Linked DNA regions of Oryctolagus cuniculus. The protein of the gene in region 4 interacts with the protein of the main gene of each other region in a pairwise test. Links are inferred from orthologs where the notes say so. Each region holds a gene or a part of one and is shown on either strand. Other genes may lie near its edges.

What was found.
Region 1: the proteins of NDN (region 4) and NEFL interact in binary tests that used the Homo sapiens proteins (3 or more experiments, as listed by UniProt). The link is inferred for Oryctolagus cuniculus from reciprocal best matches to the Homo sapiens genes NDN and NEFL.
Region 2: the proteins of NDN (region 4) and MIER2 interact in a two-hybrid assay, tested with the Homo sapiens proteins (2 studies listed by BioGRID and IntAct). The link is inferred for Oryctolagus cuniculus from reciprocal best matches to the Homo sapiens genes NDN and MIER2.
Region 3: the proteins of NDN (region 4) and TFIP11 interact in a two-hybrid assay, tested with the Homo sapiens proteins (2 studies listed by BioGRID and IntAct). The link is inferred for Oryctolagus cuniculus from reciprocal best matches to the Homo sapiens genes NDN and TFIP11.
Region 5: the proteins of NDN (region 4) and E2F1 interact in a two-hybrid assay, tested with the Homo sapiens proteins (2 studies listed by BioGRID). The link is inferred for Oryctolagus cuniculus from reciprocal best matches to the Homo sapiens genes NDN and E2F1.
Region 6: the proteins of NDN (region 4) and EID1 interact in binary tests that used the Homo sapiens proteins (3 or more experiments, as listed by UniProt). The link is inferred for Oryctolagus cuniculus from reciprocal best matches to the Homo sapiens genes NDN and EID1.
Region 7: the proteins of NDN (region 4) and LAX1 interact in a two-hybrid assay, tested with the Homo sapiens proteins (2 studies listed by BioGRID and IntAct). The link is inferred for Oryctolagus cuniculus from reciprocal best matches to the Homo sapiens genes NDN and LAX1.

Annotation. Positions count from the first base shown.
Region 1 is NC_091433.1:49,228,069-49,232,310, reverse strand, and holds the start of NEFL (neurofilament light polypeptide), read right to left. Parts: upstream 2,801-4,242; 5' UTR 2,665-2,800; coding exon 1,618-2,664; intron 669-1,617; coding exon 544-668; intron 101-543; coding exon 1-100. UniProt on the Homo sapiens protein: Neurofilaments usually contain three intermediate filament proteins: NEFL, NEFM, and NEFH which are involved in the maintenance of neuronal caliber.
Region 2 is NC_091447.1:58,246,338-58,250,335, reverse strand, and holds the start of MIER2 (mesoderm induction early response protein 2), read left to right. Parts: upstream 1-1,198; 5' UTR 1,199-1,265; coding exon of another isoform or gene 1,266-1,329; coding exon 1,330-1,338; intron 1,339-3,998. UniProt on the Homo sapiens protein: Transcriptional repressor.
Region 3 is NC_091452.1:20,280,662-20,284,894, forward strand, and holds the start of TFIP11 (tuftelin-interacting protein 11), read right to left. Parts: upstream 2,801-4,233; 5' UTR 2,686-2,800; exon of another isoform or gene 2,060-2,685; intron 859-2,059; 5' UTR 850-858; coding exon 641-849; intron 1-640. UniProt on the Homo sapiens protein: Involved in pre-mRNA splicing, specifically in spliceosome disassembly during late-stage splicing events. Intron turnover seems to proceed through reactions in two lariat-intron associated complexes termed Intron Large (IL) and Intron Small (IS).
Region 4 is NC_091443.1:13,452,797-13,456,378, reverse strand, and holds NDN (necdin), read left to right. Parts: upstream 1-1,400; 5' UTR 1,401-1,533; coding exon 1,534-2,511; 3' UTR 2,512-3,082; downstream 3,083-3,582. UniProt on the Homo sapiens protein: Growth suppressor that facilitates the entry of the cell into cell cycle arrest.
Region 5 is NC_091442.1:24,388,522-24,391,586, reverse strand, and holds the end of E2F1 (transcription factor E2F1), read right to left. Parts: intron 3,032-3,065; coding exon 2,879-3,031; intron 2,234-2,878; coding exon 2,119-2,233; intron 2,045-2,118; coding exon 1,822-2,044; intron 1,732-1,821; coding exon 1,484-1,731; 3' UTR 501-1,483; downstream 1-500. UniProt on the Homo sapiens protein: Transcription activator that binds DNA cooperatively with DP proteins through the E2 recognition site, 5'-TTTC[CG]CGC-3' found in the promoter region of a number of genes whose products are involved in cell cycle regulation or in DNA replication.
Region 6 is NC_091443.1:71,693,919-71,697,876, reverse strand, and holds the start of EID1 (EP300-interacting inhibitor of differentiation 1), read right to left. Parts: upstream 2,801-3,958; 5' UTR 501-2,800; coding exon 1-500. UniProt on the Homo sapiens protein: Interacts with RB1 and EP300 and acts as a repressor of MYOD1 transactivation. Inhibits EP300 and CBP histone acetyltransferase activity.
Region 7 is NC_091444.1:19,380,680-19,384,757, reverse strand, and holds the start of LAX1 (lymphocyte transmembrane adapter 1), read right to left. Parts: upstream 2,801-4,078; 5' UTR 2,185-2,800; coding exon 1,971-2,184; intron 769-1,970; exon of another isoform or gene 505-768; intron 125-504; exon of another isoform or gene 4-124; intron 1-3. UniProt on the Homo sapiens protein: Negatively regulates TCR (T-cell antigen receptor)-mediated signaling in T-cells and BCR (B-cell antigen receptor)-mediated signaling in B-cells.

The DNA.
Region 1 (4,242 bases), on a different chromosome or scaffold from region 4:
GGCAGACCGGCCGAAGACCTGGGAGCTCTGGGAGTAGCCACTTGTTATGCTGCCCACACTGGTGAAACTCAGTCGGGTCTCCTCACCTTCCAAGAGTTTTCTGGGGAGACCAACAGAGGGTAGGGTTAAAATTAAAACAACCTAGGAAGTGTATTTAATGACTTGCTCTAAGCCCACCTCTCATCTGTTCTCCCAATGCCATCCTACAGGCAAATGCAAACAAGAGAGGGCTGGGAATTACCAATATCCAATGGCTAGGAATTTTATGAATGAGACTGGGGGTGGGGGGATACAGAATAAAGTACGTTAAATAGTTCTATTAGATTTTAAGTGTAATGAGAAGCTAAAAACAGGACTTAATATTACAGGGTAAAGTTCTTTGATATTTGTCTAAACACTTGCTCCTTCGAAGAAGCAAACTAATCATAATAATATCTCATTTCAGAGGGCTATTGCAGAAGGCTTCTGGTTCAACATGATCTAAATGGCATCTGATTTTCTTCCAAGGCTTTCTGGCTACTACCTTTGCCCTTCTGTTGTTACCTGTAAGCTGCAATCTCAATATCCAAAGCCATCTTCACATTGAGGAGGTCTTGGTATTCTTTTAGGTATCGTGCCATTTCACTCTTTGTGGTTCTCAATTCATTTTCTAGTTTGTTGATCGTGTCCTGTTGGAAGACAGAAAAAGAAGAAAATCTAAGCATCAATTCCTACTGCTATCATTTTACTGTAGCTCAGTTACAAACACTCAGTTTCAGTTAGAGTCGAGGGGCACACCTTTAATAAAAATCTCCCCTAAAACAGCTGCTCACTCTTTTTTGAAAATATTTCTCGCCTAAAATATCCAGCTTCATGAAGCATGAGAAGAAAAAAAAAAAACTAAAGAAAGAACATTCCTTTAAGACAATATCCTCAACTAGTACAATCTAAGGAGCATCAGAATATGCCTGCATGGAAACTAACTTGACAGAAAAGGCTGGATTCTCATTTATGGGTTAACTCCACTTTAGCCAGGTCACAATCCAGAAAATTCATCCATTTCTTCATAAGAGAAGGAAGTAGCTAAATTGCTTATACTTTCTCTAAAATATTTCCTATATTTCTGCTCCCCAGCTAGTTACCCAAGACAAATCTGTCTGGGTTCCTGTCCACCTGCTAAGGGGAGGAGTAGCTGGTACTTAACCAGTCATAAAATATACTGGCCACAGTAACCTTTCGGGACTAATTAAGACTTACTCGCTATGGTTATTAACCAGGTGATCCCACTGGTGTTGCAAAGTAACTTCAGGTGAATGCAGGTAGGTAGATGGCCCGACATCCCTGCAGGCCAGGGCAACGCCCTACTCCCACCTCTCCCCCGCCCCCGCCTGACCCCTCCCACGCTGGGCAGCTTCAATGCGGAACTCAGACTCCACTGCACCACTCACACACCCAGACTGCAGTAGCGGCCCCGCCCCACCCAAGGGCCCCGCCCCTCCCACACCGTCCCCTGGGAGCACAGTGCGACCCCTACCAGCCCTGGTCTCCACTTTTTGGGCGCAGCTTCAACTCTCCCCCTGCCCCGACCCCCGCATTCTGCAGGTCCCCGCCCCCGCCGTGTTTCGCACCAGGCCGCACCTGCATAGCACTGATGTCGGCGTTCTGCTTGTCTTCCAGCTCCTGCAGCTGCTTCTCCAGCGCTTCGTTCATGCCCCGGCATGCTTCGATCTCCAGGGTCTTGGCCTTGAGCAGGCGGCGGCTCTCGGACACCTCGTCCTTGGCTGCGCGCACGGCGTCGGTGTTCTTGGCGGCGCTCTCGGTCAGCACGGTGAAGCGGCTCTTGAACCACTCTTCGGCGTTCTGCATGTTCTTGGCGGCCAGCTTCTCGTACTGTGCACGGATGTCCTTGAGGGCGGCGGAGAGGTCGGGCTTGGAGGACACGTCCATCTCCACGGAGATCTGAGCGTACTGGATCTGCGCCTGCAGCTCGGCGATCTCCTCTTCGTGCACTTTCTTCAGAAAGGCGATTTCGTCCATCAGGCTGTCGATGCGCTTCTCCAGCTCAGCGCGAGCGAGTGCCGCCTCGTCAGCGCCTTTGCGCGCCTCCATCAGCCTGCCTTCGGCGTCCTCCCGGCTCAGCACCTCTTCCTCATAGCGCGCCTGCAGGTTGCGAAGGGTCTCCTCCAGCCCTTCGCGCTCGCCCTGGAGCGCCTGCTTCTCGTTGGTGGCGTCTTCGGCAGCCAGGCGCAGGTCGCGGATCTCCTGCTCGTACAGCGCCCGGAAGCGGGACGGCTCCGAGTGCTTCTGGCGCAGCACCAGCAGCTCGGCTTCCAGGACCTTGTTCTGCTGCTCCAGCTCGTGCACGCGCTCGATGAAGCTAGCGAAGCGGTCGTTCAGGTCCTGCAGCTGCGCCTTCTCCTGCGTGCGGATCGACTTGAGGTCGTTGCTGATGGCGGCTACCTGGCTCAGGTCGAGGTTTTCCAGGCTGGGCATCAAGGAGCCGGAGCTGGAGGAGTAGCTGCGGCGCACGGACAGCGAGGAGGAGACCGGTGCCGAGTAGCTGGAGTAAGCGGAGCGCGCGGTGCTGTAGCCGCTGCGCACGCTGGAGATGTGCACCCGGGGCGTCTCCACGTAGCGCCGCTTGTAGGAGGTCGAGTAGTACGGCTCGTAGCTGAACGAACTCATGGTGGCGGCCGGTGCCCCTCTGGCCCGCGGCCGGAGATGGGGCCTGGAGAGAGAAAGAAGGACGGGGGAGAGAGGGAAAGGAGAGGATGGATGGCTGTGTGCGGCTCGGCGCCGTCCTGCCACCCCTATTTATACGCCGCGAGGCTTCTGACGCAGCCTGCGATCGATCCCGGCGCGCCGGCCAGTGGGGGCAGCGCGCTGCTGCAGCCAAGGGGAGGATTCTGCGCAAAACGGAGGGCGGGGGCGGCGGCGCGGGGCCGCTGAGCTGCGGCTCTTCTCCTTTGCACTTTTCTCTGAGGCCCTTTCTGTTCTCTGAGACCCTATATCCCCGCACCTGTGTCCTGTCCTTTCCCACCCAGCCAGCCGCAGCCTGCTTACCCCGGGACCCACGTATCACTCAGATGCTCAAGTATCCCCAGCCATTGGTTCTCGCCGCCCACTGACAACTTAGTTTTCCATAACCCGGTACCTCTCGGAGACCCTGGCCCGCAGCCCACCGCTTCCCACCAGGGACCTCTTTGATCACCCCTCTTCCCCACTTAGTGTTTATGGCGACGGTGCAGTGTCGCTAGTGGTTTGAGAGGAGAATAGGCTGTGGTTGCACGTATGCGGCATTTAGCGAGGAAAGTTTCGCGTTTCTTTGCAGTTTTTCTGGCACTTTCTTTAATTAATCTACCTTTCTCCTGGGCCCCCTGACCCCCGGAGTTGGTGGGCTGCTTCTCAGCCCACAGGGTTCTGCCCCCCTACCTACACACGTGCGCGATTGCGGCGTGCATTGCAGGTGTTACCTTTTATCATTTCTAAAGCTGTAGGGCACTGCCTCTGGCTTCCTAAATTTTCTTCTTTGTGGGGAAGAAAGCCTTGGAGGCTTTCGGTGTGTTGACGACGCGGGTAGACGGAGGGAAGCAGAGGAAGAGTGACGCTACCAAGGAGAAGACCCGCTTGCTAGGCGGCGGCTCGCTCTACGGCGGGCAACTGACTTCAGGCTGCCTGGCTGGAACTTCCCCGAGCTAAATCCCTGCTTCGTGGACTTGACACTACCGACTCCCTCCTATTAAAAGCCCCCTTGCCCGCTTTGTACACCTGTGTAACACCCAACCTGATGATTTCGAAAGGCCATGCAGGTGGCTGATTTTCATAGGGAAGCTGCGGCGGCCAGCCTCAGGCGTCGGGTGTGGTCTCCGGAGAGAACTCCTGGAGCTTGCAGCCAAAGCAGCCGCGTGATTCCTCCGTCGGGTCGCTATGTTAGGTAGATTAGAAAGGCAGTCAGAAATCTATGGGTTTCTTATGGAAAGCACCCGGATACCTGAAACAATGTGCACGCCTTACAGCACGTGGATACGCCTTTCCACAGGGGTTGTTTGGAGTTCTACGGGTTCATGGGGAGAATTGCAGAGATTTACATAAAATCCCTAAGGTTTTTCTAAGCATGCTCTTAGCTTTTGTTTTATTTGCATGACAGCATTTGACATCAACTTGATTTTTTTTTTTTTTACAGAAGCAAACTTTCCAAATGGAGAAATCAGAATCTCTTTGCCTGTGATATGCTTTCCCTGAGTGGTACCACAGTTGCTTCCA
Region 2 (3,998 bases), on a different chromosome or scaffold from region 4:
CAGTTACAACGTCACTCCCTACAGCTGGCGGCGCCCAAACCTTCACACCCTGCTGTCCACGCAGCTGTCCACGCAGCGCCTCTGGGCAGTAACTGCGTCTCGGCGCTCTCCCCGCGGACTCAATCCTTTCCCTGCCCTCCTCTCTGTGTGACAGAATTATAGACAATGAGAGACAGAGAAAGGTCTTCCTTTTCCGTTGGTTCACCCCCCAAAATGGCCGCTGCGGACGGCGCACCACGCTGATCCGAAGCCAGGAGCCAGGTGTTTCCTCCTGGTCTCCCATGGGGTGCAGGGTCCAAGCACCTGGGCCATCCTCCACTGCCCTCCCGGGCCACAGCAGAGAGCTGGCCTGGAAGAGGAGCAACCGGGACTAGAACCCGGGGCCCACATGGGATGCTGGCGCCGCAGGCGGAGGGTTAACCAAGTGAGCCCCGGCGCCGGCCCCCTTTTCTCCTCTTGATGGCCTGCTGGCCCTTCCTGGACCTCTGGCTGCCCGGGACGCACGCTCAGCTCGTGGAGCGGACGGGTGGCGATGGACAGACCGCCTGTTGCGATCGGCCAGCGCCCGGTGCGGGAAACAGAGGCCAAACCGAGGGGCAGTGGCTCCCGGCGACCGCAGGGTGGCCCTTCCGGAGGGCTGAGCGGACGCAGCAGGGCCAGGCCTGTCCACCTGCACCGCGCGGCTGACCGCTGCCTCCGTGCGGGTCCGGCGGGGCGGGCGGGTGCCGTCGCTGGTCCCGCCTGCGGCTCGGGGCCCCGCTGCCCGCACCCGGCTCCGCAGCTCCTGCGGGGCAGGGACGGGAGCGCTAGACGCCCTCCCGCTCACCAAGCGCCCAGCGCTGACTTCAGCAGCCCCGCACACCTAAGACAACCGTGCGCCCGCACCTGCCTCGCTCGAGGCAGGGCCGCCCGCACGCGTAAACTGAGCCTTCCCTCCCGGAGCCGCCGCGGCCGACGGAGGTTTTTGGTCTTTCGGCTGTAACCGCACACGGTCCCCAGCGCAGAAGGTTCCAGAACCACGCGGCCCGGACGCCCGCGCCGGCTCCGGCCAGGGCGCCCGCCTCCCTCCACGCAGGCGCTCCGCAGGCGTCCGCGCTCCCGCCGGCGAGGCCCGGGTGCGGCGGAGACCCCGCCCACGGCCGGCGCCCGCAAGCCCGCTGCGGCCCGGGGCTTCGGCCTCCCGCCCCGCCGCGCGCCACGCGCCCGCGCACCTACTACGCGCCGGCCCGGCCCACCTCGGGCCCGCCCTCCCGGCGCCACAGCCAATGAGCGCGCGGCTCCGCATCCGGGGATCCCGGCGCGGCTGCCGCCTCCCGCGCACACACGGCCATGGCGGAGGTGAGTGAGCGGGCCGGGGGAGCCGGCCCCCCGCCCCCGCGCGCTCGCGCCCCCGCCGCCGCGGCTGGCCCGGTCGCCGCCCCGCGGGCCGAGGCGCCCGCCCTGGAGCTCTGAGGGCGCGCTCGGGGCGCCTCGCCCGCCGGGGGCCTGAGGGGCGCGGGGCTCGGTCGGCGGCCGCCCCCGGCCCCGGCCCCCTCCCCCCGGCTGCCACATCGCGGCGCGCGGCGCGCATGCGCGCTGGCGCGGGCTGGGAGGGGGCGCAGGGAGGGCGGGGCGCGGGCCGCACTGGGGCCGGGTGGGCGCGCGGGCGGGAAGTCGCGGCGGCCGGCCGTCCGAGCGCCCTCCGGGCCGGGGCCGGGGCCGCCGAGCTTGGGCGGCGGGGTCTCGGGTGCGGCCGCGGGGTTTGCGGGGTCTGGGACTGACGCCGGAGTAGCTCCGAGGCTCGTCCCGCAGCCTCGAGGACAAGTTTGGCTTCGGGGACTTGAGTGGGAGCGGCCGGGCCGGGGAGACGCCGTCCGGGGCGCGGGGCAGCCCGCGCGAGTGTGGCGTCCTCGGGGGCGCGGCCGCCCGCGCTGCGCACTTGGGCGAAGTTGGAGCAGGCCGGGCCCATGCGTGGTCTCCGGCTCCGGGAGGGCGCGGTGGGCGCCGAGGCGCTGTGCTGGCCACTCCCTCCTCCCAGGACCGCCCCGGGCCCTGCTGTCCAGCTCGGCCCCCGCACGGTGCCTGGGTCTCTTGAGTCCTTCCCTGGGCTGCTGACGTCCCCTAGGAGCGGTGGGGTCACGTGGCCGTGGACTCCCGGGAGTGAGGGGCGTGTGGGTCGCGCACGAGTCCCAGCCGAGGTCCAGGTCAGACCCTGCGGCCAGCCTGTGGCTCCTGCCCTGTGCTGGCCGCGGCTGGGCGTCTGCGCTGGGCGAGTTCGTGCAGAGGTCTGGGGGAACAGGAGTCACTGAGCGCTGGGGGCGGCCGGTGGGCCGGGGGCGCAGGGAGTCACTGAGCGCTGGGGACAGCGGGTGGGCCGGGGGCGCAGGGAGGCAGTGCCGCTGGGGGTGGCCGGTGGGCCGGGGCACAGGGAGTCACTGAGCGCTGGGCGAGTTCGTGCAGAGGTCTGGGGGAACAGGAGTCACTGAGCGCTGGGGGCGGCCGGTGGGCCGGGGCGCAGGGTGGCCGGTGGGCCGGGGCGCAGGGAGGCAGTGCCGGTGGGGACGGCGGGTGGGCCAGGGCGCAGGGAGTCACTGAGCGCTGGGGGCAGCGGGTGGGCCGGGGCGCAGGGAGTCACTGAGCGCTGGGGGCAGCGGGTGGGCCGGGGCGCAGGGAGGCAGTGCCAGTGGGGACAGCGGGTGGGCCGGGGGCGCAGGCAGGCAGTGCCGCTGGGGACAGCGGGTGGGCCGGGGCGCGCAGGGAGGCATTGCCAGTGGGGACAGCGGGTGGGCCGGGGCGCGCAGGGAGGCATTGCCAGTGGGGACAGCGGGTGGGCCACGGCGAAGGGAGGCAGTGCCAGTGGGGACAGCTGGTGGGCCGCGGCGCAGGGAGGCAGTGCCAGTGGGGACGGTGGGTGGGCCGGGGCGCAGGGAGTCACTGAGCGCTGGGGACAGCGGGTGGGCCGCGGCGCAGGGAGTCACTGAGCGCTGGGGACAGCGGGTGGGCCGGGGGCGCAGGGAGGCAGTGCCGCTGGGGGTGGCCGGTGGGCCGGGGCACAGGGAGTCACTGAACGCTGGGGGCAGCGGGTGGGCCGGGGGCGCAGGGAGGCAGTGCCACTGGGGGTGGCCGGTGGGCCGGGGCACAGGGAGTCACTGAACGCTGGGGGCAGCGGGTGGGCCGGGGCGCAGGGAGTCACTGAGCGATGGGGACGGCGGGTGGGCCGGGGCGCAGGGAGGCAGTGCCCCTGAGGTTTCCCGCTCTGGGCTGGCATCACAGGTTGCAGAACCTCAGTGCCTGGTCTGTGCCGGGAACGTCCACGCTGTCTGTCCAGGGCTGAGGGCCTCCGTAAACCATACCCAGAGTTCAGCTGTGTTTAACCCAGAAAAATACCTGAGTAGGGTTTGATTTGTAGTTGCCCCCTGACGGTTGAGTTGTCTCGAAATCACGTCACAGGGGGAACACTCAGACTTGGCGCACAGGTACTAGATGAGAGGTTTTTAAGGTTGAAAGAGTGGGGCCTGCTGGGGCTTAGTGGGCGAGGCCTCCCGCGCGGACGCGGTTCAAGTCCTGGCTGCTCCATGTTTGATCCAGCTCCCTGCTAATATGCCTGAGAAAGCAGAAGATGGCCCGGGTGCTTGGGCCCTGCACCCACGTGGGAGACCCGGAAGAAGCGTCTGTCTCTTGGCTTTGGATTGGCCCAGGTCTGGCTGTTGTGGCCATTTGGGGAGTGAACCAGCGGGTGGACGACCCCTCCCCTCCCAGTCTGTAACTGGCTTTCAAATAAATAAATGCATGTTTTTTTTAAAAAAATGGAAAGTTAGAGAGAGAGAGAGAGAGAGGTCTTCAATCTGCTGGTTCACTTCCCAGATGGCCACAATGGCTGAAGCTGGGCCAGGCCGAAGCCAGGAGCCCTGAGCAGGGTGCAGGGGCCCAAGCACTTGGGCCACCCGCTGCTTTCCCAGGCCGCAGCAGGGAGCTGGGTTGGGAGCGGAGCAGCCGGGACTCAGCAGGCGCCCACGTGG
Region 3 (4,233 bases), on a different chromosome or scaffold from region 4:
GAAAAGGCCATGTCGCAATGGGCTGGGACCGCGGGCCACAGCAGGGGTGCAGAGACAGCCCCGTCAGCCACACACTGGTCGAGTAGCTGCAGCCCACACACCCGTGAAGGGGGCTTCTCAAATATAACCCCCCCAACCCTTCTCATACCGTGCTCCCCTTCCTCTCGCTGCTCCAGCCCCCAAACCTTCCTGATCCGTGTGGGTCTCCTGCAGCCCCCGCCAAGGGCCTCTGCGTGCTCACACCTCTCCCACCACCCCGCAGCCTAGGGTCACTTGTCCAGAAACATCCTCCCTGGCCCCCGGAAGACGTCAAGCACCCTTCCAGGCTTCTGTGCTCTCCTCCATAACCCTAATCCCGGTCCCAGAGTTCAGTGGTCCAGGCCTGTCTCCATGCACTGGAGTCTAGACTCCAGGAAGCCAAGCGCTGGGTCCACAGCACAAGGCCTGGACCACAGGAACTGCTTGGAAGCAGGACTGCCGGTGAAACAGTGAACGAGCAGCACTCCGGCCTCGGGAGGAAGCTGCTGTCCCAGCCTAGGGACTCCCTCCAGAAGGCCAGGAGAGGCGGCCACCTGTTGGGTCCCCTCCCCACCCCTCCCCTCCATGAGACGAGGGCAAGCTGCCCGGGGCCAGGCAGTACCGTTTGCCTCCGAAGCTGGGCCTCTCGTCGTCCGAGTCGTGCTCCGCCCACACTCCGTAGGTGGCCTCCTCCTTGGTCTGCCAGTGGCGCTGCCGGTTGGGGTTGAACTCGTTCTGCAGATCCCAGTCGGTGATCTCGAAGTTCTCCCGCTCATCGTCGTCGTCATCCACACGGCCTTCGCCATCCCGATACAGGTGGGACAGCGACATGGCCCGTCACTGAAGGGACAGAAAGGGCACGGCGTCTGCTAGGTCCTGGGGGCAGCAGGAAGATTCTCGCTGCCCCCAGAGCTTCCTCCAAATTCCAAGTCCGTCAGGACCAGTGTTACCAGTCAATGAAGCAGAAACTGGAGGTGTGGGTTAGAAAGCGGTCGGCCCTAACACGGGTGAAACAGGAGACAAGTTCCAGGGCCATGCGACTCAAGGTCACTCCCTGCCCTCACCAATGCCATAAACACGGCACACATGTACACATGCACGGATACACGCATGGACATGCAAACACACCTCCCGGCCTTCCACGCATCACTGCCTCAGAAACTGGGCGGACCTCTTCTGGGGTCCCAGATGCCACTATTTTTTAATGTAACTGTTTGGGAAAGAGGTATCGCTCCACCCCTGGCCGTCCCAGGGGGACTCCCTCGCCCCTCCCAGTATGCTTTCTGAAACATCACTTGACAAGACTCAGAGACGCCTGCTCTTCCAAAACACGGATCTCTTCCTTCGAGCCGGAAGGCTGCAGGAATTACGATTACATAACTCAGTAAGGTATCTGTGGGTCAGAACAGGGAACCCACTTCTGGGAGGTGGAGCTGTCTAAACTTGAAATCGACAGCTGTCGCGGCCCTGAGTGTGGGGAGCAATTCGGACTATACTGTTACTGGAATTAAGATTTATTCTATGCATCTGCTCTCCCACAATATGGCGCTGGGAGAGAAGTAAACAGCTTCTACCCAGCTGCCTTTCACCAACTTGACAAGCTGCAGGAGCTGCTCCTGATTGGAGGAGAGCGGCGTGCTCGGCGTGTGGGCAGCCGAGTTGGGATTGGCGGAGGAGGACTATATAGGAGGAGAGAGACGGCATAGTGGTGTGGGTTGGTTGGAGAGTGCGTTGGAGAGTTCGCGGGGAAGTTCGTTACTTCGTTCTTTCTCATTTCTCTCTACTCATTCTTGCTTTGGGAGTTTGCTGTTTACTTATTCTTACTTTACTATAGAAAGGACTTGTAAAAAAAGGGAACAACAAGCGCCCGGTCCGGTGCGGCTCCTCCGCGTGCGGAGGAGCAGCACCTGAGCAGTGCTTTGCAAGGAGGATTCCCTAGGAGGATGCTTAACGCGCACACAGCTCCTCCCCAAGTCCCATCGTTAGGTTCATCACCATCACGACAGCCCTGCTAAGACCGCAGCCCGAGTTCAAATCCCACCTCCGCCAGTCGCACAGCGCCAGGCACGTCGCGCCGCACAGTGAGGGTGGCTGTGGCCTGCGTGTAGCAGGAGCGCCAAGCAGGGACAGGAAGCTCACTGCTTCCACGGGCAGCTCCGACAGCAGGCACGCCGGGGGAGGTGGGGGAGCAGAGGGTCCCCGTGTTCTCGGAGAGCGGGTCCCAGAGACGTGGGATTACAGAATGCCGCCGCTTCCGAGGGCACGGGGCACGATATTCCCAAGAGCAGCGGCGAGTAGGGGTCCTCACCGGGCGCTCAAGCCGGCCGGGGTCAACGTTAAGACCCTTCTTAAAGGTACCGCCGACGCCTCCATGCAGAAAGGTAAGTAAAATGAGGTTCGAAGACGTTAAAAGCAACTTGCCCTGGGGGCGCCCTGCTGGCCGGCCTCACAACCCGAAGCTAGAACTCCAACTTCTGTCTCTCCTGCGTTCTAAGCTTCGCGGAGGCGGCTCCGGTTCCCAACCCCGCGGCCCGAAGTGATCGCCACCGGGACCGCCCCGCGCCGGGCTCCCACATTGCTGCGGGCAAAATGGAATCCCACCCGGGCTTGGCCGAGGCCCGCCTTCCCCGACCCGAGTCCCCCGTCCCGCGGCCCGGCCTCGCTCACGTCTCGGAGGCGGTCCAGCGAACCAAACAGCTTCACACTCCGCGCAAGTAGAACGCCGCTCTGGTGGCCGGACCCCGGATGTGGCTAGGCCGGCGCGCCGGAAATGACGTAGGCCACAGCGGAAGTGGCTCGCCGGTTGCCATGGCAGGGAGGCGCCACAACGGGTTTGGCCCCAGAGGGGCAGGCTGGGTAACCAAAAATGAAGAAGCCGATTGGCAGGGCCGGGAGTAATTGGAAAGTGACTTTTCGGTCGTGTGGGCCTCCCCGTCGCGCCTGCTTCGCCCCGCGACGCCCAGCCTATGGCGACTGGTGTGGCGGGCGCTGAGCCACGTTGGCCTGACAAGCCTCCTCTGCTGTCTGTGATTCTTTTTTTTTTTTTTTTTTTTGACAGGCAGAGTGGATAGTGAGAGAGAGAGACAGAGAGAAAGGTCTTCCTTTTGCCATTGGTTCACCCTCCAATGGCCGCTGTGCTGCGGCCGGGGCACCGCGCTGATCCAAAGCCAGGAGCCAGGTACTTATCCTGGTCTCCCATGGGGTGCAGGGCCCAAGCACTTGGGCCATCCTCCACTGCACTCCCTGGCCACAGCAGAGAGCTGGCCTGGAAGAGGAGCAACTGGGACAGAATCCGGCTCCCCGACCGGGACTAGAACCCGGTGTGCCGGCGCCGCAAGGCGGAGGATTAGCCTAGTGAGCCGTAGCGCCGGCCTTGTCTGTGATTCTAAATCTGCGACATGGGGCTGGGGCACTGGCTCGGAGGACCGCTGTGAGGAGACTGGAGGGAACCAGGGACGTGGCGATCATCGACTGAGAACAGTGAAGTCAGGACCGCGCCGTGACCGGCGCGCCGCGGGGAGCGCATGGCAGGCGGGCACGGATTCCAGAGTCCCCGAGTGTTCTCTCCGGGAACAGTGAGACCAGCTCACTTGCTCACTCATGTGGTTAAAAAGGGCTGAGTGCCTGCACTCGCAAAGGACTCGATGAACAAAAGAGGCGTGACCCGGGCTCCTCCCGGGGGAGCTGTCAGCGGCCGGGGACGCTGCGTGGACCTTGAGGACACACACGTGGGTCTTGGAGCTGCAGCCTTCGCTCTGTAATCTACCCGCTGCCGTGGACCTCGGGCGAGGCGTTGCATCTCTCTAAACCAGGGATGAGAACCTTTTTTCTGCCAAGGGCCATGCAAAATTATCAACAAAATTAGCCTGCTGTAGGTTTATTGAAACAAATAACCTTTTAAAAAATTTTTTGTTTATTTGAAAGGCAGAGTTACAGAGAAGCGGGGAGGCGTTTTCCATCCGCTGATTCACTCCCCAAATGGCCACAACGGCCAGGGCTGGGTCTCCCATGTGGGTGCAGGGGCCCAAGAACTTGAGCCATCTTGCGTGTCTTTCTCAGGTGCATTAGCAGAGAGCTGGATTGGAAATAGCCAGGAAGGAGCCAGGACTCGAACCAGTGCCCATATGGGATGCCGGCACTTCAGGTGGCATCTTACCCAGTACGCCACAGCGCTGGCCGTGGTTTATGGAATTTCCAGTCCCACCTGTGGTTGCC
Region 4 (3,582 bases):
ATCCTGTGAGATGGTAAAGATTCCACATGGACACTGAGTGGAAAGAGCAGCAGTAGGGGGAATAAAGGATCTGAGGAAACAGGGAAAAGGACATTATCAAACAAGTTGTGCTAATAATTACAGCAATCTTTATCCTATAGAAACCTGATGAAAAGTTAAAATGGAATCAAAGTGACCCAAGGGAAGATGAAAATCAAAATCCATAATCAAAAGACTAATGAATCAACATAAGTAGCTATTTATAGATGAATGAATGAAGGAAATGTGGTATATACACACAATGGAACACTATTCAGCCAGAGAAAAAGAATGCCATCAGTCAGTTGAGGTAACACCAATGAGCCTGGAGGACAATATGTTAATCGATATGCACCAGGCACAGACAGACAAATACTACATGTCCTCACTCACATGTAGAAAGCTAAATAAGTTGGTCTCATGGAAGGTGAGATTAGAAAACTGGTTATCAAAGACTGGGAAGAAGAAGAGAAAGGGAGACACAGAAAAGTCAATTACATGCTACATAAATACAATTAAATGCAACAAAAAAATTTCCAGTGTTCTGTATCACATTAGGTGATTATAATTAACAATACTTTAATTATATATTACAAAATAGCTATATGGAAGGATTTTGACTGTCCCGTAACACAAAGAAATGAAAATGTGGGAAGTGGTGGATATGCTAATTACCCTGATTTGATCAATACACATCATATATATTTATGGAAATAGCACCCTGTTCCCCCAAAATATGTGCAATTATTATGTCAATTAAAAATGTAAAAATACACAAAAAATGTCAAAGTTGTTTTAAACCCATTATCTCCAGCATCATTCACATTTTGCACGGACTGATAGGGAATTTACCAATTCTGCATTCCTCCTTATTTTATACTCTTCCTCCTCCTACTCTCGGAATTTTGTAGGGAGAGACTTCATCAACTCTTACTGGTATTTCCCAGGATTCCAGTCTCAGATCTTCCCAAAGTTCGCATATTTTCTTAGAGAATCCCAACTATTCACATTCTCTTGAGGAATCCCAGCTGCTCCTCTCACTTGGTCGCAGGAAACCGGGAGCTCTCTCTGGGACGCTCCTGTCACACTTAGTCCTGGACAAACCCAGGTGGACCCTTGTAAGAAACTCTACCTCACCACGTGGGAAACTGAAGTTACCATCTTCCCCTTTAAACTTGCCCCTTCCTCAGCGACCACCCAGCCCCTCCTGCCCTCCCCAAGGCCGCCTCGTCCACGCAGGAAACCCGGGGTCATTCCCATCAGGCCAGCAGCGGCTCCACCTCAGACCCTCGCCGTCGGGCGCACAGCCCCTCCCCTCCCGCCCAGTCCGAATCGCGCGGCCCGCGGACGCGCAGGCGCAGTGTCCCGTCGTCCCGCCGCCGCCCCGCCCTGCCCGCCGCTGCGGAAGGCGCCGCGCGCAGCTACGCGCACTTCCTCTCAGGGAGACCGCGGAGGGAACGCAGGCTCGAAGAGCTCCGGGACGCTGAGGCCCTGCTCCTGTCAGACGGCGCAGACATGTCGGAACAAAGTAAGGACCTGAGCGACCCCGACTTGACAGCCGAGACCCCCAGCCGCGAAGTGCACAGCAGCCCAGGGGTTCCGGCGGGGGGCCCTGCGCCCGTCTCCCCTGCAGCGACCCTCGCAGGGCCACAGAGCCCTCCTCCAGGCCCGACGGCGCTCTCACAGCCCGAGCCGCCGCCCCAGGCCCCGAGCGATGAGGATGACCCGAAGGCCCTGCTGCAGGCAGCTGAGGAGGGCCGCGCCCACCAGGCCCCGAGCGCGGCCCAGCTGGGCCCCGCGCCGCCCGCCCCGGCCCAGCTGGTGCAGAAGGCACATGAGCTCATGTGGTACGTGCTGGTCAAGGACCAGAAGAAGATGATCATCTGGTTTCCAGACATGGTGAAAGATGTCATTGGCAGCTACAAGAAATGGTGCAGAAGCATCCTCAGGCGCACCAGCCTCATCCTCGCCCGAGTCTTTGGGCTGCACCTGAGGCTGACCAGCCTGCACACGATGGAGTTTGCGCTGGTCAAGGCTCTCGACCCCGAGGAGCTGGACAGGGTGGCACTGAGCAACCGGATGCCCATGACAGGCCTTCTGCTCATGATCCTGAGCCTCATCTACGTGAAGGGCCGAGGCGCCAGAGAGAGCGCCGTCTGGAACGTGCTGCGCATCTTGGGGCTGCGGCCCTGGAAGAAGCATTCCACCTTCGGGGACGTGAGAAAGCTCATCACCGAGGAGTTCGTCCAGCAGAATTACCTGAAGTACCAGCGCGTACCCTATGTTGAACCTCCGGAGTATGAGTTCTTTTGGGGCTCCCGAGCCACGCAAGAGATTACCAAGATGCAGATCATGGAGTTCCTGGCCAGGGTTTTTAAGAAAGATCCCCAGGCCTGGCCTTCCAGATACAGAGAAGCTCTGGAGGAGGCCAGAGCTCTGCGGGAGGCCAGTCCCAGTGTCCACTGCCCCCGAAGCAGTGTGTCTGAGGACTAGTGAGGTCTGGAGGCAGATTGATGGTTTCCAACCCCCACCAGGGCTGTGGAAGGGTGGGGGGCAGGTCTTAGAGTATTCAGGATTTACAGTGCAGTATTTCACGTGTAACCTTTCAGTTATCAGTACAGTGCTTTTATACCTTTTAATGCAATGTTGTATTCATTTGGGTACTATCAAGTAGTGTCTAGCATTTATGCATGTTTGTTTATAAGTAAGCTCTGTTGGTGCTTCGCTTTTGTGCTACCTTTCTTGGATTTTTTGTACCAGAGATGTGCTAAACTTATGAAATACATTGAGAAGTTTTCCATCTTATTCTTTTATATGGGACGATTGATGTGTACTGTATGATTGATGCACCTGGTGAGTGTGGAGAACTCACCAGCAAAGCTGGCCTAACCAAGAGAAAAGCCTAAGGCCCCTCTTTATGACCTTGATGGGCATGAGCAACATCTGGAGTGAACTGTTTTGAACTGAGATGGTCTCAATGTGGGCACTTGGCACACTTTACTAAACACATATACAACCTACCATGAGTAAACTTTAAACATTAAAGATTCTTGTGATACAATCATTTTTGGAGAACTGTACTCTATCATTTTAATAAACGGTATCATAGGGAATGAGAAGGGATTCCCCATTGTACAAAATATGCAAATACTTCATGATTAATCCTAAATGTGTATTTATATTGTATTATAAATACAACTCATATTTGTTTCAAAAGGTTTGAGAAATACAGAATGTGTAATGTCCCCAAAACAAGTAAAATTTTCCACAATCATAACACAAGGAAATAGCAATTGATCATATTTAAGATAATTTCTTGCCTTCATTTTCTATACTTTATCAAAGTTAATAGCTGCCTTTAGTGGTCTCTTAAAGAGGGAGGAATAGTGTTTTGTTAACTTTTGCCTTTTATTTAGTGCCCTCACTAAATAGTCGCTTATTACATCCACACAATGGAGGAAATCAGGAACAAAGTAGGGATGAACTTTGTGTAACTCACATAGCTGAGTAAAAGAGGGTGCTAGGATTTGAACCTATGCTATGAATCTGGAGCCCACATTCGTG
Region 5 (3,065 bases), on a different chromosome or scaffold from region 4:
TCCCTGCCCCTCCCGCCCCAGGGCCTTTGCTTGGAGTGACTCAGATTAGCTCCCACTCATCCTGCAGTTCTCAATTCCAGCACCCCCCCCCCTTCCAGGAAGCTCTCCCAGATCTCATCTGTGCGAATCTTCACCAGCCTCTGAGACTCCAAGGGAAGTCATTCACACCTGGCTGTTGTGGCCATTTGGAGGAGTGAACCAGCAGATGGAAGACCTCTTTGCTGCATGTTTACAAGGCCCACAACTACCCAGAATGAACACAGCCAACTGGTGAGTTGCCTGGGGGCAGGCGAAGGAGGAGTCCACTTACCCCCTGCGGTTTGTCACTTCTCAGGACAAGATTCTCTACTGGACCCATCTTTAGCTAGGAGGAAGATGCCCACCTTTCTTGGAGTCATGAGGCTCAAACGAGACTGACCGGGGCAGGGCGAGGAAGGGACGTGGGGAACGGCATTTCCCAGCCAGACTTGCTCCCAGTACAGAGTCCCCAGACCCAGCCCAAACGTCATCAAAATATTTATTAAAACCAAAGCAGGAGAGAACAGAGCTGTTAGGAAACAAGTCAAAGTGCAGATGGAGGGTGGGACGGAGCAGCCAGCTGACCACACGAGAGGCCCCTCACTCACCCCTCCTGCCCACCCTCAGGGAAGATCCCTCACTCCCCTCTCCCTGCTCACGGCCAACCTGGGGGACGGCTGGGGACCTGCAGTGACTCTGGGGAGGAGCCACCCCCTCCATCACTCACGGCTGGCTGGCTGTCAGTCAGTCTGTCTCCCTCCCTCCTTTTCCCAATAAATAAATCGCTCAGGCCTCAGCTCCTTCCGGGCGGGGTGAGAACAGCTCAGGGCCCCGTCTCTGCTCAGGGACAGGGAGTCAGCTCTGCAGGCCTTCCTCCCTCCGACCCTTTGCCCATTCCCAGGCTACCCAGGAGGCCTTGATAAATAAATAACGCTCCATTAAAGCTTCGGTCAGGAAACCCTTAAGACAGAAGTGCTCACTGTCCTGTACCCTCACAGCCAAGGGCTCCCACCTGGCCCGCTCAGCACACAGGATGCTGTGGGCAGGGGGCTGCCCTGGGCCTCGTGGGGCCCCTGGAGCAAGGAGACCGAAAGTGCAGTTCGAGCCCCCTCACGCGCACACACGGACGCACGCCACACACGTGGACACACTGGGGTGCGTCTGCAGTACACGCACAGATGTGTTCACCTTCATTCCCCGGTCCACGCACACATGCACGCTCACACCACACGCACCCCAGGTACACACGTGGGGGGTGTCAGGGATAAGCACACACACACTGCAAACAGAATCCCCCCTTCCTGGCGACAGCCAGATCCCAGAGCGAGAAGCCCCTGGAGATAGGAGAGGGGAATAAATTAAACATTTCCAATCAGGCTGGGAGGACGGCCAGAGGCAAGGGGCTCCGGGGCTGCAGAGACAGCCAGGGTGGGCATCTCAGGAGATACCTCCCCCCGAAGCCTCCTCAGAAATCCAGCGGGGTGAGATCCCCAAAGTCACAGTCAAAGAGGTCTCTAATGCCCTCCCCCTCCTCGAGGCCGAAGTGGTAGTCGAGGGTCTCATGGGGAGGGGAAAGGCTGATGAACTCCTCGGGGAGGAGGCTGGAGAAGTCCTCCCGCACGTGCTCCAGGAGCGAGTCAGCTGCCACCAGTGGGGACAGGCGGTCCTCATCCACGGGGGCTCGGAGGCCACCCATGCGGGATAGCAGCGGTTCTGGGAAGACAGGGGAACATCACAGGGGCTGCCTGCACGCTCACGAGGGGGCTCTGCCCTACCTCACCCTACCCCGCACCCCTCAACTACCTTGCTCCAGGCTGAGAAGGGACTGGCTGGGATCCAGAGCAGGGGATGAGGGAGGAGATGACGAAGGTGGAACCAAGGTGGCAGAGTCAGCTGTCCTGTCTTCCTCCCCAGATGCCACGCCCTGGGTCGGGGTCTTCCCAGGACTGATCGCGCCCGCACTCTCCTCAGGGCACAGGAAAACATCGATGGGGCCTTGTTTGCTCTTAAGGGAGATCTGAAAGGTCTGGGTAGAGGTGGCAGGCGGGGTAAACGCAGGCCCGGGCGATCACAGCCCAGCCCAGCCTGTCTTGGTCTCACCTCTGCGGAGTCCACAGCTTGGAGCTGGGTCTCAGGAGGAGCCTTGATCACCATGACCATCTGCTCTGCAGGATCCACAATGCTCCGAAGGTCCTGGCAGGTCACGTAGGCCAGGGTTGGAGGAGTCAAGGACTACACACGGCCTCTGCCTCTGGGGGCCACTCACCCAGACAGCTCATAGGCAGGCCTGTGGCTGCCTGTTCTCTGCTGTCCTCACCGCTCAACCCCCTACCTAGGGCCTGGCATGTGGTACTTTCAAGATCTCCCTTCCCTGCCCCGAGCCTCAGCTTCCACTCCCGTACAATGGGACCATTCAGCTCCTCCAATCCCAAGGGGATGATGGCGGCTGCCTGCAATGATGACTCCTAGGAAAACGCTCAGTGCAACTCCAGGCCGCTACTGGCCAACTTATTTTGAACCATGATTTTGGAGTCAAAACTTAGAAGCACAATTTGGGTATCCACTAAAAAGAAGTCCTATTTTAAGGAAATTCCTTACAAAAATGAAAAATAAATTGCCTGTACCTTTGAAGCCACAATGGTTACTGTTAACACCTGCCTTTCTTTCGTAATCGGATTTCAGAGTTGGACATTACGTCCTTTATAGATGAAGCTAAGCGCTGAAAGGTTAAGTAACTGGCCTAGTGACACAGCACGTGCTGAGCCAGGACCTGCACCCACAACCCGGGTGCTCTCCCAGGGCCCAGGGTGGCCTCTCCAGTGCCACTCGTGGGGGGCCCACAGCTTCCAGCCAAGGATATCGCTGGCTGTCAGAGTCCTCAGAAAGCAGCCGCAGCTGTGTGGCACAGAGGTGCATCAGGTGGTCCAGCTGCTGCTCGCTCTCCTCCAGCTGCCGGAGGTCCTGTGTTAGCCCTTCAAGCCGTCCGCCGATGCCCACCGTGGTGTGGCTGCCTCTGTGGGGAGGACCACAAGGGTTAACAGCTCTTG
Region 6 (3,958 bases), about 58 Mb from region 4:
GCTAACTGGTCGAACGGGGTCTTCTCATAATGCATCTGAAAGCCGCCATCCAGGGCTGCTTCTCTGGCTCGGGATGTGCCCAGGAACATCTTGTTGGCTTCCTCCAGGGCCGCGGACACTCTGTAGCCCGCGCCGCTCGGCGGCTCCTCTTCTGGATAGTCGTAGTCGTCCTCCCAGTCATCAAATTCCTCGCCCTCGTCCTCGCTCTCCAAGTCCGGGCCCGCGACCTGGCCGGGCTGCTCCCCAGGGCTGCGCCCGGGAGCCAGGCCGCGTTTCCCCGCCGGCGCCGCCATTGGCTGGGCCGCCGCCCCCTCCTCCTCCTCCATCGGGCCTTCCTCTTCGAGCTGTGGCGCGGCCCCGCTGCGGGAGGGACTCGGGGTCGGCTCCCGGCTCCCGCTGCCTACCTCCATCTGCGGAAGGTCCCCGTCGCCGGGCATCACATCCATCTGCAGGTCGTTGCACTCTTCATACAGCTCCGACAGCTCTGCCATTGCCGACATGGTAGAAACCGCTCAGGTTCTAGCAAAGCGCTTTTAGCAAAACAGGGGCGACGCGGCTGCGCCGTTGTGCGCGTGCGCACAAGCCTTGCTTTCGCGGGACTCGGGGCGCATGCGTGGCCCCCCAGTTGCCGCCTCCCGCTGGGCGCCCCGCTATGGCGGGGAGCTCGCCGTTCCCCGGGGAATGTCGGGGCGGCTCGGTGGACTGTGTGTCCACCGATTCAAACCTCACAGCTAGAGACTGTGTGTACGAGAGCGTTCCGTGGGCTCTGCTTCGCTGTGCCGCGATACTACTTAGGATGCTATAAACTGGGAGATACCTCCCTAACCACAGTTAACGCTCCTGCTGCTCCTCTTCCTCATCCCCCAGGCAACCGCACCTGCTCCACGGTTTCGTCTAGTCCCTAATGACTTCTCAATCCACGTCTCCGAACCACACGCAGGCCAACATATTGAGAACTGAGCCATTCTGCTCTTTTCTTTTTGCCCCTTAAAATTAAGTTCACAAGTCATATAAGTTAAGTTATCCTATTTTCAGTTATAGTCAGTGAACATTTGGTCCCATTTTTCTTTCCTAGTAAGTAGCTTTCTCCTATTATCAGTCAGCTTGATGTATATTCTTTAAATAATTTTTTTACATTATTTGGATTTTTATGTGGGAAAACTTTTTTCTGCATGCTCTATATAACTCTCAAAAACGTTTATCAATATCCTGAAGACTTAGCTCTCTCTATGTGTATAGGGTATGTCTACTTTAAATATTGTCAAAGTACTCTCCAAAGTTGCTGTAAAAATTTAAGTTCTAGACAGTAGTATTTGAGAACTCCCCACACCCTTTTCACACCTGCTTTTGTTGGATTTTAACAGTTTTATCAATTTAATAGTGTATCATTTAATACTATATATTTTCTATAGTTTTTATTCTTAAAGAAGCCCTATTTGGTATTTCTTTTGTTACTGACTTGTGTCCTCTGAATTCCTTATAAAATCTGTATGTGAATACTTTGTTTTTAAGGTTACAACTGTTCCTCGTCTGTCTTAAGAGGTCTTAAGAATTAGTTTTATTTAATCAGATTTAAAGGTTTTTTTTTTCTGAATGTCTTTTTATCATGATGGATTTTCCTACTGCACAAAAACAATTTTTATCTTCCTTCTGATTCTTATAGATCTTTTGTAAATCAAACATTTGTGCAATACAAGGAATCTTTAAAAACTGTATGGAGGAAGAGGTGTTTAACTTAGCGGTGAGGATGCCAGTGGGATGCTTTCGTCTTGTGTCAGGTTACCTGAGCGTACCGAGGAGGTTCACTGCAGCAGCCGTGTTCTCCCTGAGATGCAGAACCCGTTCTCTGAGATCACAGGAGCAAAGCGACTCTCGGGTTCCAGTTGCTGACTCCAGGTTCTTGCTAGTGCAGACGCTGGGAGGCAGCAATGGTTTCTCAAGTAATTGGGGTCCTGCCACACCTGTGAGACGGGGATTGCGTTCACAGCTCCAGCTCTGGGCATTCTGGAAGTGTATCAGCTGATGGAAGCTCACTTGCTTTTCCTCTCCCTCTTTCTCCCCTCCCCCTACCTCGCCCTCCCCCTCTCCTCTCTCCATCTCTCCAATAAATATATTTAAAGATAGTATTTTTTTCCTGTTTTTAAATGTTATATGCATTAAAAAAGCAGCATGTATTCTTTGTGTCTGGCTTCTTTGCTCTCCAAACATCGTTGCTGTGAATGATAGACCATTTGAGTAGCACAGTGGTAATATTAGGATTGTTTCCAGTTCAGAGCAGTTACGACCAGGGAAGTTTTTGTCTTTCTTGAGAATATCTACCATTCCATATAAATACACAGTTCTGTGAGATGTACATTGCTTGGTCATTGTATAATAGCAGCTCTAGCAGATTCTGCCACACAATTCTGAAATGTAGTACATAGTGCATAGTATTAGTGTTTTAAGTTTTTAAAATGTAGTTATTGGGGCTGGCACTGTGGTGTAGCAGGTGAGGCCGCCGCCTGCAGTGCTGGCATCCCATATGGGCACTGGTTCGAGTTCTGGCTGCCCAACTTCTGATCCAGCTTTCTGCTATGGCCTGGGAAAGCAGTGGAAGATGGCCCAAGTCCTTGGGCCCCTGCACCAAAGTGGGAGACCCAGAAGAAGCTCCTGGCTCTTGGCTTTGGATCAGTCCAGCTCCAGCCATTGTGGCCATCTGGAGAGTGAACCAGCAGATGGAAGACCTCTCTCTCTCTCTGCTTCTACTTCTCTGTGACTCTGCCTTTCAAATAAAATAATCTTTTTTTAAAAAAAAGAAATAATAAAATTTATGTATTGGGACCACCTAAGGTGCCGGCATCCAATGCAAGATCCACAGGGGAGGATGACCCAAATCTTGGGCCCATGCATCCATGTGGGAGATGGGGAGGAAGCTCCTGGCTTCCAATGGGCTGTTGTTGCCATTTAGAGAGTGAGCTATTGGTTGGAGGATCTTGCTATCTCTGCCTCTCTCTCTCTCCCTCTGTAACTCTGCCTTTCAAATAAGAAAGAAAGAACTTTTTAAAAACTACTCTTCATTTTATCTGAAAGGTGGAGGTGGGGGTGGGGGATTGAGAGACAGAGGAGATCTTTTGTCCACTGACTCACTTCTCAAATGCCGTCAGCAGCCAGGGCTAGGCCAGATTGAAGCCAGGAGCCAGGAATTCATCCATGCTTCTCACATGAGTGGCAGGGACCCAAGTTCTTGGGGCATTATCTGTTGCCTTCCAGGGTGTGCCTTAGCAGGAAATTGGATCAGGAGCAGAGCAGCCAGGAAAACCAGGCACTCTGATAGGATGTGGGCATCCCAAATAGGAACTTAACCACTTAGCCAGAAGTCCACCCATAGTGTTGATGTTCTAATGAAACTTTAAAAAACAGTGTGGCAAATACATCTCCGGGATGCCTGTGTCTCATATTGGAAGGTCTGAGTTCAAGTCCCGGCTCTGTGCCCAGTGCTAGCTTTCTGCTAATGTGCACTCTGGTGCCCAGTGCTAGCTTTCTGCTAATGTGTACGCTGGAAGATAGCATGAAATGGCTCACGATGTTGCATCTCTGCCACTCACGTGGGAGACCCAGACTGAGTTCCTGGCTCCTATTTGGCCCAGCCTCAGCTGCTGCAGGCACTGAGGGGAGTGAACCAGTAGATAGGAGATCTGTTTCTGTTTTTCAGATTAATTTTTTAAAAAAAGTTCTTTAAAAAGATTTTTCTTGGCTTATTGATGCAATTCACTTGACTAGTTTTATTTCATATTGGAAGGCTTAAGGGTACTGACTTGGTCAGAATACTTTTGGTAGTGAACAACAACACTTCAAACTATGCAAAAATAAATACATAGAAAACAAAAACATAAAGGAAAGGGGAAAGTGTACTGACTAAAGCTAAGGAACAAATGTTGCCACCAACCTTTTCTTTTTTTTTTTTAAGATTTTATTTATT
Region 7 (4,078 bases), on a different chromosome or scaffold from region 4:
CAGCAGTCCCACGGACTCAGAGGAAATGAAGTCAGTGTGTCAAAGCGACGCGTGCACTGCTGTGTTTGCTGAGCCTTATTTGCCATACTCAAGGCGTGGACTCCACCTCTGCGCCACTCAGCAGGTACATGGACAACGCAGATGTGCTGTACACACCCAGCTGTACTGTTCGGCCTTGAAGAAGAAGGGCATCTTGTCCTTTGGGGCAACACAGATGCAATGAGAGGCTATTGTGTCGAGCAGATAACCCAGGCCAGAAAGACAAACACGTATGATCTCCCATGCGACTTGGAGTCTAAGCCAGCTGAACTCACAGCAGCAGAGAGTAGACGGGGACCAGGGGCTGTGGGGGAGGGGTTGTAGGGATGACAGTTACCAGATACGAAATTTCAGTTAGAAGGAATAAACTCGGGGCCATGGCGCACTAGGTTAATACTCCACCTGTGGTGCTGGCATCCCATATGGGCGCCAGTTCTAGTCCCGGCTGCCCCTCTTCTGATCCAGCTCTCTGCTATGGCCTGGGAAAGCAGTAGAAGATGGCCCAAGTTCTTGGGCCCCTGCACGCACGTGGGAGACCTGGAAGAAGCTCCTGGCTCTTGGCTTCAGATCGGTGCAGCTCTGGCCATTGTGGCTGTCTGGGGAATGAACCAATGGAAGGAAGATCTTCCTGTCTCTCCCTCTCACTGTCTGTAGCTCTGCTCTGTCTCTCAAATAAATAAATAAAAAATCTTAAAAAAAAGAAGAAATAAACTCAAGAGGTCTACTGCACACTGTGGTGACTGTGGTTAATAACAATGTATCATAGCCCTAAAAATCAGAGAGAGTGAATTTTAAGAGTTCTCCCCATGAGAAAGGAAGTAAGTGAATTAGTGCATAGCCATTCTGCAATGTATACAATATTTCAAAACATGTTATGCACCATACATGATTGTTCTTTACAATTAAAAAACAAAATTATCTTAAAAATAAATAGCTTGGTGAGGGAGCAGGCTTCTGACAACTTTCAGGAATTCATTCTTCATCAGCACCCACGTCTCACTCGCAAGCGACATATGTTTGCCACAGTAAAAACGCGTTTCTCAAAATGACAGCGATTTTAAAATGTATTATCATGGGCTTGTATTTTTCTCACGGTACTGACCTTTCTTGCTAGCAGTGTTTCTAAAGATTCAATGGCTGATGGACTTATCTTTACTGGTGCGAGACCGAGAGTAGCAGCGGTGACACAGATGCCCCCTTAGTCCCAGGAGAGGCTATGTCCTAAAGATGAGTCTTTATGCTGATAGGATTCCATTTTCCATTCATGGCAGGTTTCTAGAACCTAAAGACACATCCTTGGGAAACTGGGCTTTTGTTTCTATCATGGTAGGATCATGTTTGCTTCACTTTCTACTTTTATTTATTCAAAAGTCACACAGGGAAGAGAAAGAGAGAAAGTTTGATTTCCCACTGGCTGGTTCACTCCCCACGAGCCTGAAATAGCCAGGGCTGGGCTAGGCTAAAGCTAGGAGCCCAGAACTCAATCTGGGTCTCCCACACAGGTGGTGGGGAGCCAGCTACAGCATCTGCTTCCTCCCAGGGTGCACGCCTGCAGGAAGCTGGCATCAGATGTGGAGATGGGACTTGAACTCAGGAGTAGGATGTGAGATGCGGGTATCCCAAGGGCATCTTAACGGCTGCGCCACATGCCCACTTCCTATTTTTTTTTTTTTTGAGGGGTGTTTGGTGGGACCTGAGTTAGGGAAGATGGAGGACGGGGCGCAGGGGCCCTGAGGGAAGTCCAGGGGAGTCAGGCCACCAGCAAAGAGGACCCGTGTAATTGGACTTCCTGACCCCTCATCGCCTGCCCGTCCTCCCGCCAGCCCCGAGCAAATGCCTCCGAGCCCAGAGCTTGTGGCCTTGGGGGACCCGAGCCTGTTTGAGGCTCCCCAAGGTGGGGGGGGGCGGGGAAGCCCCATGCTGTCACTCACCCTTCCAGGCTGCTGGCCTCCAGGGTGCTCCCTTGCATTCCTGACAGGGTCGGGGTGATGGCGCCCATCGTCCAGCAGCCTCTGAGGTATGCCCCGTCTTCAGCTTCTCGGCCTGCTCTGGCTCACAGCCGCCAGCCGGCGTGTCTGCCACACTCCCACTCCTCCTCTGGGGCTGACTCCCAGGAGAAAAGGCAAATGGGTTTGTATTTTGCATGTAACCACTTCTTGTTGTTGGTTCTGCAGCAGATCACGTAGAGTGAGAGACCTCCTGGTCACCCCGTCTTCCCAATACTCCCGGACACACCATCAAAACTTGCAAAACCTCTTCTTCTTAAATCTTTGTTCCCCAAAGTCCTTCACGAAAGCAGTATTTCGGTTTTACTTTCTTCCTAAACATCTTTTGTTCTAGAACTTTCTCCCCCGCCCCCAACATGCTGTCTTGCCCCCGAAGTGCCAGGCCCAGCTGACCCCACGTCACAGACAACAGGTTTGGTGCTACCTGGCTGTGGCCGCGATGTCTGCCGTCGGTGGTGATGGTTGCCTGGGCGCAGGGGCTCCCGGAGTGAGGAGGCTCAGGCCCAGCCTCCCAGCTCTGTCTTCCCAAGCAGACGCGAGGGGCACAGCGGGGCAGGCTGCCAAGAGGCCCAGGAGAGGCCCCGTGTGAAGCTCATCTTCCTCTCACCCCCAAAACTGTGTGAAAAAAAAAAAAACACAAACCACTCTCTGCCAGAATGGAAACGGAGAGTCAGCCACAGGAAGCGACGCCACCAACGTGCTAATGAAGCCAGGCAGGAAATGCTTCGCAGATAGCAGAAGGTGCAGCCCCCACCCGCAGCGCCTGGGTGGGCCAGGGGGCCCTGTGCTCTGTGCGCAGTGGGACCAGCACTGGGCATTTGCACCCCGGCTTTCTGAGCTACCTGGGGTCAAGGTGTTTCGGAGGCAGAGCCTGGGAGCACAGATGCACCCCCTTGTGATTAAGTGGGTGCAGGTGCAGCCGGAGCCGGCGGGGGGGCGGGGCAGGCTTTCTAAGTGTTTAACAGAGCAGGTGTGTTTTGCATTTTGAGAACTTCTGCTTTCAGGAATAGAGCTAACGCTGGGGTCGGCAGTCACCATCCTGGTTCTTATAGTCACAGTGTCCCCAGGGGCCACCGGAAACATCCCAGGTGTTGTTAACATCCTTGCCCTCCTGCCCCGCCCACCCGCCCTGCCTGACTGCTGGCCTGGGCGGGCAGAGCCCTCTCTTTGCAGGAGGAAGCCGCCTCCCTTAGTGGGGAAAGGGAAGACGTCTCAGTGCCTCCCCCACCCTGGACACTGGTGACCTCAGCTTTGCGGCCAGCAGGCCTTGTCCCACAAGTGTCCAGCACAGGCCCCGAGGCTGCAGGCGGGTCCTGGATGGCTCCCAGGAGCCCGGCCTGGCAGCCAGTTCTGGAGCTAGAGCCTGGCTCGCCGCCCTCTTCGCCTTCAATAAGGATCTGTCGCCCTGGTGTCCAGGATGGGTGCCCTGAGCCATGGACCTGAGACGGAGGGGCTGTGTGTGCACAAGGAGCCTGGCGGGCAGCGAGCAGACTGTCGCTCCTCAGAGCGCATGGCCCCCACGGCGACCCCTTCAAGGCCTCCTCTGCTTCTCCACCCAGCTGCCGCCCCGGGTGTCCTAACTCCCTCCCACCACGTCTGGGGAGACACCCTTGGGAGTGGCCGCGAGCCCCCTTGCTCCAGGCCCCTCTGTCCCATTTTCCTTGGGCTGGAGCCCACTGAGCCGGACTCTCTGGAATGCTTCACCCTAACGGAGAGGAAGCTGGGTACACTTTAAATCCAGTTGCTCTGCTGTTTCCCTTTAACCACTTCTCGTGATCTTAGGGGCTGAACGCCACGTACGATTAGACCAGGGTTCTACGCAAAGTTCACAGAAAAGCAGAACTATGAGCTCATTATGGTGCAATTTTTTGAAATCCAACCTTTAGGGTTTTTTATAAGACTTTTTCCACGTACTACAAAAAGCTATTTTTTTTGTGTGCCAAAAATTAACTCACACTTCTTTTTCTTAAAAAAAAAAAAAAAAAAAAGAGAGAGAGAGAGAAGATTGGGGCCAGAGCCCTAGCACACTTGGT